Linked DNA regions of Drosophila melanogaster. The protein of the gene in region 2 interacts with the protein of the main gene of each other region in a pairwise test. Each region holds a gene or a part of one and is shown on either strand. Other genes may lie near its edges.

Region 1 (5,209 bases), on a different chromosome or scaffold from region 2:
TTTGTTTGCGTTTCACAGGCAATGGCATCGAGGCGAAAAATCTGGAGTGTGCCGAACAAAGAGGAAGCTGTTCTGTGGCTTTGGGCTGCGCACAACGAGGTGAACCAGCGCCTGGCAGGCGATGCCACCGAGGATCCAGAGTTCCCCAAGAAGCAATTCCCAGCGCCGGAAAGCTGCAACGAATGCTACCGCACGCCCGTCTCCAAGTCGGAGAACTTGGAGATCGAATGGAACAAGGACGCCGTGCTGGGCTTCCTCAAGAACATACACAATCCGCAGTTCGTTAGCCGGTACGGTGTGCAGCGGGAGGAGCTGCTGCATCCCACGGCGGACAAAATGCGGCAGAAGCGACAGATCTCAAGTGTCTTCACCGACATGGATATGCGGATGGGCATGCTGCTGTACGCCTTCTGCATTGTGATGATGGTGTTGGCATTTAAATTGTTCGCCTTCAAGGGATACCGCAAGAAGCCCTATGGCCACGATCTCCTGGGCAAGGTGTAGGTTAATCCGCAGGAAAGCTTTCACATATTCTAAACAACAAAGAAAAGACACCGAACACCGAGAAACGGAATTTAACACGCCACCTCATTGCATGATTTGTATTCGTGGCACCTAGAGTTATGATTAAGTTAAAAGTGTGTATATATATATATATATTGTATGAACGAACAGTCCTCTTCCAGTTGTAGTCCCTAACCTAATCGCTTTTTACCACGACGATGCACCTGATTGCTTTATTCTTAGGCATGCAAATGTGATTTTTCCCTCCAGAAGTGACAGTTTGAATAAAAACGATCAATGCTAGACGAATGTTCACAATGTTGTACACTTGTTATGGGCGGTAGCACTTGTGATAAGGTGCGAACACAGAAATAATGCAGATAAGAAAACTGACAATAGTTGCGTTGCGTGAGTTTTATTTAACGAATCTCTGGAAGTCCGGATGCCACCAGGGCAATACTTTGTACTTTTCGATGCGATCGTGCTTAACGGTTACCGACACATTTCGGCAGCCATCCTCGGCGAAGTCCAGCTCTAGGTTCTTGGCCCGCATATCCGTGCAGAGGAGTTCCCGGGTGGCTCGCAGACGGTAACGTTGCTGCTGAGGGCCATAGGCTAGATGGTTGGAAGTTGGCACGAAGTGGCGGCAGATAACAACAAGCAGAACCACACCCTCGTGGGGATTACAAAAAGTTGGAGCTAGCTTTGTCGCATCATCATCCGCCAGGGATTCCCAGTCATTTACGACTTCGCCGGTGTGCGTCTCCGTTTCGTCCTGCTCATGGGACTGTCGGTTCCAAAACTTGTAGCACATGATCCATAGACACTGGTAATGCGTCTGAAAACAGGAAACAAAGATGCGCTGCAACATCCAGTCCAGGTTATAGCCTAGCTCCAGGCGAACCTTCAGCGGTCGGTGGCAGTGAAAGAGCGCCGCGATGACAAGGGATTTAAGCGCCCGGGTCTTACAATTGCGTATCGACTCCAGCTGCAGCTCGGCGGGCAGATTCAGATTCCAACCAGAGGTGGCTCCGGTGCAGTGACGCCGGTAAAGATTGCGCCAAAAGGCGCGAGAAGCCACCAGTCTGGAGGTTTGTTTACATATTAGAGCGAAGGTCTGTACGTCCTCCGGATCAATGTGCATGGATATGTGGAACCAAATGTCATACCGCATGCTAATCACATTGTTGTTGTTGCCCTCCGCCATGGGCAAAGTGGGTGCAGTGGCTCGGAATGTGGACTTTTGCTTCACCGCGACGCAGACATCCGATTGCCGGGCATATATATCTGAGGGTGAGGTAAATTTGCACTGCAAATTCGGAGCACCCAAGTGAGCGGGTCAACTTACCACATTTCCCTTTACTACGGAATAGTTTGTTTTTAATAAACTCATCACAATCGGCATCAAAACTCATTGTGTTCGGCTCTCGCTGGTTCAACAGCTGTTGTTTGCTTGCGAGTTGGTCAGGTGGTGACAGAGTTGTTATCCGACGCGAATGGATTAAAATAACAATTATTAGTCTATTTTCTATGTTTTATTCTTTATTGTTATATATTTGTAAACTTCAAATAGTATGCAGAATACGAACGTCAAGAGACAGTTTGCTTAAAAAAGAAAACATAAATTTTGATTGAATTTAATGTTACTTTGTTACTATGGCGCAAGTATAATTATCAAAACAATTTGTGTTATAAAAACAACTGCATAAAGCAAAACTTTTGAAGGAGCTTAAGTAGTTTACAAGCTTTAGCTATTTACAGTTGATCTAGCCAGAGATATAAAGCCCAGATCTGGTAACTCTGTTCAAGTGCCATCACCGGTTGGAAATCTCGCTAAATCTAGCTAGAAATAGATAAAACGGTACAACTGCTAAAATTGATTAATTGTTAAAACAAAAATTTCGTCAAAGTTCGTTGATAAGACTCTCCTGGAGTTCCGAGACCATAACAACGAGCAATTCCGCACGAAGCGGTCACTTACCGTCCGTCCAAATCAGTGCGAAAAAGCGACTATCGAGCCGATCGTACAAAAGCAACTACCGTGCCGTGGGGTAAAGTTCACAGCACTTTTCCTTTTGTCCGAAGTCGAAGTCGGATTTTGTCACCATGGTCGACAACAATAACCTACGCAGTGCGGTGATCAGCGATGCCCCGCTACTGCCGCCCTCGAGCAGCATCGGAGTGGGCGTTTCAAGCGGCGGAGGATATCCGCCGGAAGCGGTGCTGCGTACTCCGTATGGCAATGTTAGGGCTCTGCCCGGACCGGCGCAGCCCCCTCCTCTGCCGCAATCCCCATTCCAGCAGACACAACAGTACGGTGGTTTCGGCAGCGGGTACGGCGGAAACAACTACGGACTCGGGGGTTATGGTGGTTTCAACAGTGGCGCCTTTGGATATGGTGGACTGGGTGGATTTGGAAGTGGACTTGGAAGTGGATTTGGAAGTGGATACGGGTATGGAGGTGGCTATGGCGGAGGCTATGGTGGAGGCTTCGGCGGTGGGTACAACAGATTTGGAGCAATGGGTGAAAACGATGCGGAGCAGCGGTTCATTTATATGGCAGAGTCCAGCTCGCGCCCGGCCTTTCAGAGCATCGAATCTCTGGTGTCGGCCATCGGCAACATCGCCTCTATGCTGGACTCCACATTCTTCGCGCTGACCAGCTCGTTTCGGGCCATTCTCGGCGTGGCCACGAACTTTGTACGGCTGCGAAGTGTGTTTGCCCAGTTTTGGACCACGTTTGCCATATTCCGCGGTCTAAACTGGATGTACAGAAAGTGAGTGCGGTGCAAAAGTGTGGAAACCGTTATAACTATATATATTTCGTTAAAGGATTCTCTATTGGCTGCGCCTATCGAACCTGGACCCTTCATCGGCAGCCTTTAAGAAGGCCTTTGCCGAGGCACTGAACGAAAACAACGGCCAGGCGAGAGGAGCACCTAATGTGCCGCGAAAGGGCAACTCACCCTGGCCGGTGCTGGCCTTTATCAGCTTCATCTTTACTGCTCCCTACTTGATCATGAAGCTGCTGGGAACCGTGACGAACACCGCCCAGGAGGAAGGTAAGACATGCCTGCACATTGCACAGCCCAGTTTATCTAATCGGGAGCACTTTGCTCCGTTCATGTGCTATAATCTGGCCGATAAGGCCTGTTCAGATAAGACTGCGAATAACGCTTGTGCTCTCATCCCAACCAGCCCGTAATCCGGCCAAGTGGACTGCGCCGATTCAGACTCAGGCCGTTTACGAATTCGTGGCTCGCAGCCCGAGCGAGCTTTCGCTGCGCGCCGGCCAAATGCTACATGTGGCTCCCCGCGACATCCAGCAGACGCTCAATCTGCTGAACACCGGCTGGGCTCTAGCCACCACCAACGGACAGACCTCCGGCATCATTCCAATTAGTTATGTGAAATCGCCACAACAAATGCGCCAAGAGATGCAGGATCAAACCAAGCCCGCTCAGCCACAACCCGAACTAATGAATTTGTCCGCGGGAGCCTTTGCGTCTCCTCCGTTGGAGCAGCAAATGAACTACGACTTTAACCTGGCTGCCCAGCAGCAGGCGCCTTTGGGACCGCCCTCAACGACGTCAGCTGTGCTGGGCGAGGGATTCGCCTGAGCCGACCAAATCCTCGGAGAATTAGCTTAAGTTTAAGTTACGTTCCGTTCAGCTTCTGTATATGTACGTCCACGTCCCTGTATTTTAGGTTAGCTTCCGCCTTTTGTATATTTCCATTTAGTTGTAAATGTTTATTAGCCAGCGATCCCAATGAAAGTAAACATAAACCATATGCGATGTCATGGATTATTGGACTTATTGCTTGGGTTGGGTGCAAGCAGAAGGGAGGAAAAGATTAAATTCTCTGTTTATCATATTTTACAATATGCAAATTACTTCTTTATTAACTTGTCACTCGGTTCGATTTCGTCTCACTTGTTTGCAATTTCCTTTCCATCCATGCAATTATTTCGTTTCATTACACAACTACATGCTCGACACTTAATTGTTAACGCCTTATACTTGACTACTAATTTGTATTTGCATGCTGTTGTATTCACTTGAAGAGGGTTCAATAATATAAATACAAATTCTGAAAATGTATATCGTGTTTTAATTGTTATTACTAATTAGGTAGGTTGATTATTTCGCAACTATCTGCACTCCCTTGTCAACTTAAAATTTGGGTTTTGAGAATCTAAAAGAATCGCTTTGTCAAAGGGTGTTAGCAAATTAAACATATTTCATATGTTCGCTCTTGTCTGCAGTTCAAACTGCTCGTGGCATTCTAAAAATAATTGCATTTCACTGCGGTTGTGTACAGTTTTGGTATATTATATTATTAAGAGACAATTACCCATAACATTATCGCTTTTGCTTAAGCCTACCCAAACATGAAAAGGCCATTGGGGGGAAAAGGGAGACTGATAACAACTAATTAGAGAGTGAACATTAGTCTGGGCATGTGGTTTCGCGGTATTGCCTTATGTGAATTGTGGTTTGAACTAAAAACGCGTTCTCCTTAACTAGACAAATTATTTTAAAAACGTTTCAGCTTAAACATAAATCTTCAATGATACAATTACAAACTGTGTATGCAAACTACACTTACATACATGAACTACCGAATCTTTCTCGTCGCTGCGAGATTGTATATATATAATTTAAGAGTCTCATTGAGAAGTAAACAAAACCAATTGTGTGGG
Region 2 (3,751 bases):
GTGGTAATAAGGACAAAGCCTCTGTGAACACTTGGAACAACCTCATCTGTATAGATATATTTAAAAGAAATCACTGGTAGTCGTATCTTAAGATCTTTCTTTTCAATGAATCTTATAAAGATAGATTTCCGATTTTAGAATTTTGGAGTGGATGCACATACAGTGCTATGTAAGTTTAAAATTTGAATTAATTTCGCGAAGTGTGTGTCTGCCGCTTGAGTTGGTTACAAATTTTAGGTTGGCGGGCCAGTTTTGTTGTTAGTCACAGCTGTGAGTGGCCCCTGCTCGACGAACACCCCCCCTTAGCTACAGTTTCTCCATCCCTGTATAGAACATCATTGTCATGAAAATCTGGGGACCCTCCACCTTTAAGCTGTCCTCTAATGTGGGGGCTCTGTGCAGGATAGACTGGATCCCCTAACCATCGTTTTAATTTTGCCACCCAAGCGATAAGGATTAGAAGCGGGGGATGGGAGTCATTTAATGGCTTACCTTATCTTCGGCTTCCTCGGCGCGTTCTTCCGCTTCAATGACTCGCTGTTCGAGCTCCGTTAGCTGCAAGTAGAAAGAAAGAGACTTGGTTAAAACACGCATATATCCTTAATAACAGGATCTAAACATGACTAAGCATTAACAATTGTGGGATAATATTGATGTCTTATTCTGCAGCTTTAGTTTGTTATATATAATTACATTTTTATATTTGTAATTTATACATCGTTTCGTCAGATTTTCAGGAGTTCTTACCAGGTGGGTGCCCCTGCCCCTGCCTTTATATATATCTAAATTTTTCTTCCGACAACTATTAAAATCTAACTAATATTGTAAAAGGTTTGAAAAAATATACTTAATTAAATATAAATACTTTTGTAGATCTGTATGTAAAATATTACGTGGCGCCATCTATATCTGAAGGCGTGTTAATTCTGAAAATTGCCCAAGTAAAAGGTATCTGATAGTCAGGGCATTTGACCACAACGTTTCTTCATGGTTTTATTTCATAAGCCACAGAATACTTAATTAACTTTATTAGTTGGGAATTGGTTATACTTCCAAAAAATTATTCTTAAGCCTCTTAGTTTTCAATGGATCTGTAAAAAAATTTACAGTGTAATTTCAAATTCGATTCTACAACCCGATGTAAACATTTATCTGATACACCCTCTAACAAATTATTCAACTTAGTGCAGACACAAACCCTGATAAGAAGAAGTTCCCAGTATTTTCCGGTGTGGTGAATTCCGTTTGAGCTCTTAAAAAATGGTTATTTTGCGGTCCTTATGCTTTTGGGGTTTTTCAGCATGGGAGGTTTTTCATTGGGAATCATCTACCCAGCCACCCAAAGGATGGTCTATCCATCAATGAATCAATCATGGGAAATGACACACAATTTGCAGCTAATAGTAATAATGCTCTCTAGCTAATACAATTCATGTCGCTGGGATCTGCTTCTTTGCACCTGGTATTACGATAATTTTGGAAAACGGGGCTAATTTCGCCCTTGGTCGCTTGCTTCGCGCGTTCTGAACTCAATGGATTGCCATTTAAGAAAGGTGAAAAGCCGGCCGCGGAAATAGCCCTCGAGGAATTCCCGTCCAATTAATCACCAAAGTGGCCTACGGAACCCAAGAGTCCAAAGGGAGGAAGGGCGTAGAGGAAGATGGTTAAACGTCGCTAAGGGGTCCACTTGAAGCGCGCAAGAGATCGACTGCCGTCTATTTTGAATGTCTTAAGTGCATTAATTTCCGCTTTTTATGCCATTCAAGTGGCCACTCAGTTAAGGGGGCGGACGGGGGTGTGGAGCCCATTGATTGATGGACGTCAAATTGCTGTGCGAAATATGAAGAAGCCTCCTCTACCGATGATGAATGGCGGAGCGGAAGTGGCAGGAAACGTCAGCTTGACTTGATGGTAAGCTTTCATACATCTCTTCAGTCTGAGTTAACCTTTGCTAAGCTGTTTGAGGAGTATACTCGTACTCCTCTACTCAAAGGAGAATCTAACTGCATATCCAATCAAATGTGAAGTACAAGTACCGTCTAAAATTTCCAACATTGTTAGGAAGTGTTTTTATTTGTTCGCTTGGTCGCTTGGTAATGACTAAGTCTACTTAGTGTACTAATTGGCTGAGCCATTCCCTTTGCCAAAAACAGCTGCATAGCTGCACGATTATAAATAGGGTGGAACCACCGACAAACTCGCCCAGAAGCAACAAATATGTGCTCTAGTTTAAGCGACTTGTTTGCCTGTATCAGGGCCCAGGGAAATTCCGACACGGATTCCACCAGCACCACCCATCGGCGGAATATCGCTGACCTGGACGATGAGGCGCCCGATCTGCAGCTCCAACAGGAGCAGACCCGCAAGTGGAACGATCTTTCTATGCCACAGCGACACGATTCGTTTCCAGTTCCTCCTCCTTCAGCTGGATCTCCATCAACGGGCTACCTTCGTCCCTCATTGCGGTCAGCACGGGTCTCCTACGAAGCCTTGGAGCGCTACGATCGAATTTTTGGCAGATCTTTCCAAGACGCCGGGTCATCTGGTTCAGTTCGAAATATTCCCGACCAGTTCTAGGCGGAAATTGTTTGGGATTTCGGCATTGACATTAAACATGTGATCCCGCATATTCCGCTAAAAGTCGAACACAATAAATACATTTTACACATTTTCCTGACTTGACTATATGGACAATTTACTTGCATGCGATGGCTGGCTGGTGTTCGGCGCTGCGACGAAACTTGGCCAAACCATTGGATTAAACATAAAGCTGAAAAGGCAGAAAGTTCGGTTCGACTTGCGTGCGTGAAAGATTGCGAAGGTTTTACCGGATTTGGCCGTCCTCATCCGTACACCTGTTTAATCAGGGGCGTTCTGGCCTGCCAATTGGCGACTTAATTGGAAGGAAATGAAGCGGCGGCCTAAAGCAGAAAACATTTGGCATTAATTGCTGGTGGTGTGCCAAGGGGGGTTGGGGAGGGGGTCCACTTTCCTTCAGACACTTCAGACTTAAACACACAAGTTTTACAAATGTGGCACGCAGTCGCAACAAGAACGGAAACGGAAAATGTTATTTCGCAGCCACGAATGCAATTCCAGCAAACAAATGGCTCACAATGGGTGAAGTAAACCCCCGAAGCCACTACTGCCAAAGGAGGTGACTTTGCCCATTAGTCGGTTTAGGTGTCGTTTGCCGCTCTGCTGAAAGTTTCCAGCGAATGTCGCACTAAAAGTTGTCTTTCTCGCGATTGCGATACAGATGTGAATATATAGGAGGTCTTAAAGGGTGGGTGGACAATGCTGCAAGGAGCATGGAAGCAGATCTTGATGGGCTGCAGTAGCTGTGTCTTATCCGACTCGGAATTGCTTTGGAAGAAACGAGTTCACACTGACTGTATGCTACGACCGGAAGAAGAGCCCAATTGATAGGTCAACAATGAAACAGTGCAACTGCAAACTTGCTTTAGAAACGTATTACTCTGTGGTCTGCGCGTCGTATACGTAATGCGACCTACCGCCCCACAAAACGAAATAAAACATTTTAACAGTTTACAAACAATATTTTCATATTTATACTCATTTCCATCAGTACTCGTAGAGTAAATAAGTCAATAACAAACTTTAATACAGACTATAAGGTATCCGATAGTTGGCACACGACTACGAGTAGTTTCTATTGTTTGGAAAACTGTGCCTGGTTCTTTGGTGCTCCCAATCGAATCCAAACATTTACCATATGTGCGTGCATATA

Evidence for each region. Proteins that work in one complex are often made in the same cells at the same time.
Region 1: the proteins of CG14635 (region 2) and Pex13 interact in a two-hybrid assay, tested with the Drosophila melanogaster proteins (one large-scale study listed by BioGRID).

What each region holds. Positions count from the first base shown.
Region 1 is NT_033778.4:13,227,360-13,232,568, reverse strand, and holds Pex13 (peroxin 13), read left to right. Parts: upstream 1-2,334; 5' UTR 2,335-2,610; coding exon 2,611-3,281; intron 3,282-3,336; coding exon 3,337-3,566; intron 3,567-3,702; coding exon 3,703-4,124; 3' UTR 4,125-4,293; downstream 4,294-5,209. Other genes in the region: Qsox1 (quiescin sulfhydryl oxidase 1), read left to right, coding at 19-504; fsd (fates-shifted), read right to left, coding at 920-1,791, 1,853-1,919.
Region 2 is NC_004354.4:842,620-846,370, forward strand, and holds CG14635 (uncharacterized protein), read left to right. Parts: upstream 1-2,203; 5' UTR 2,204-2,217; coding exon 2,218-2,577; 3' UTR 2,578-2,678; downstream 2,679-3,751. Other genes in the region: CG43867 (uncharacterized protein), read right to left, coding at 493-555.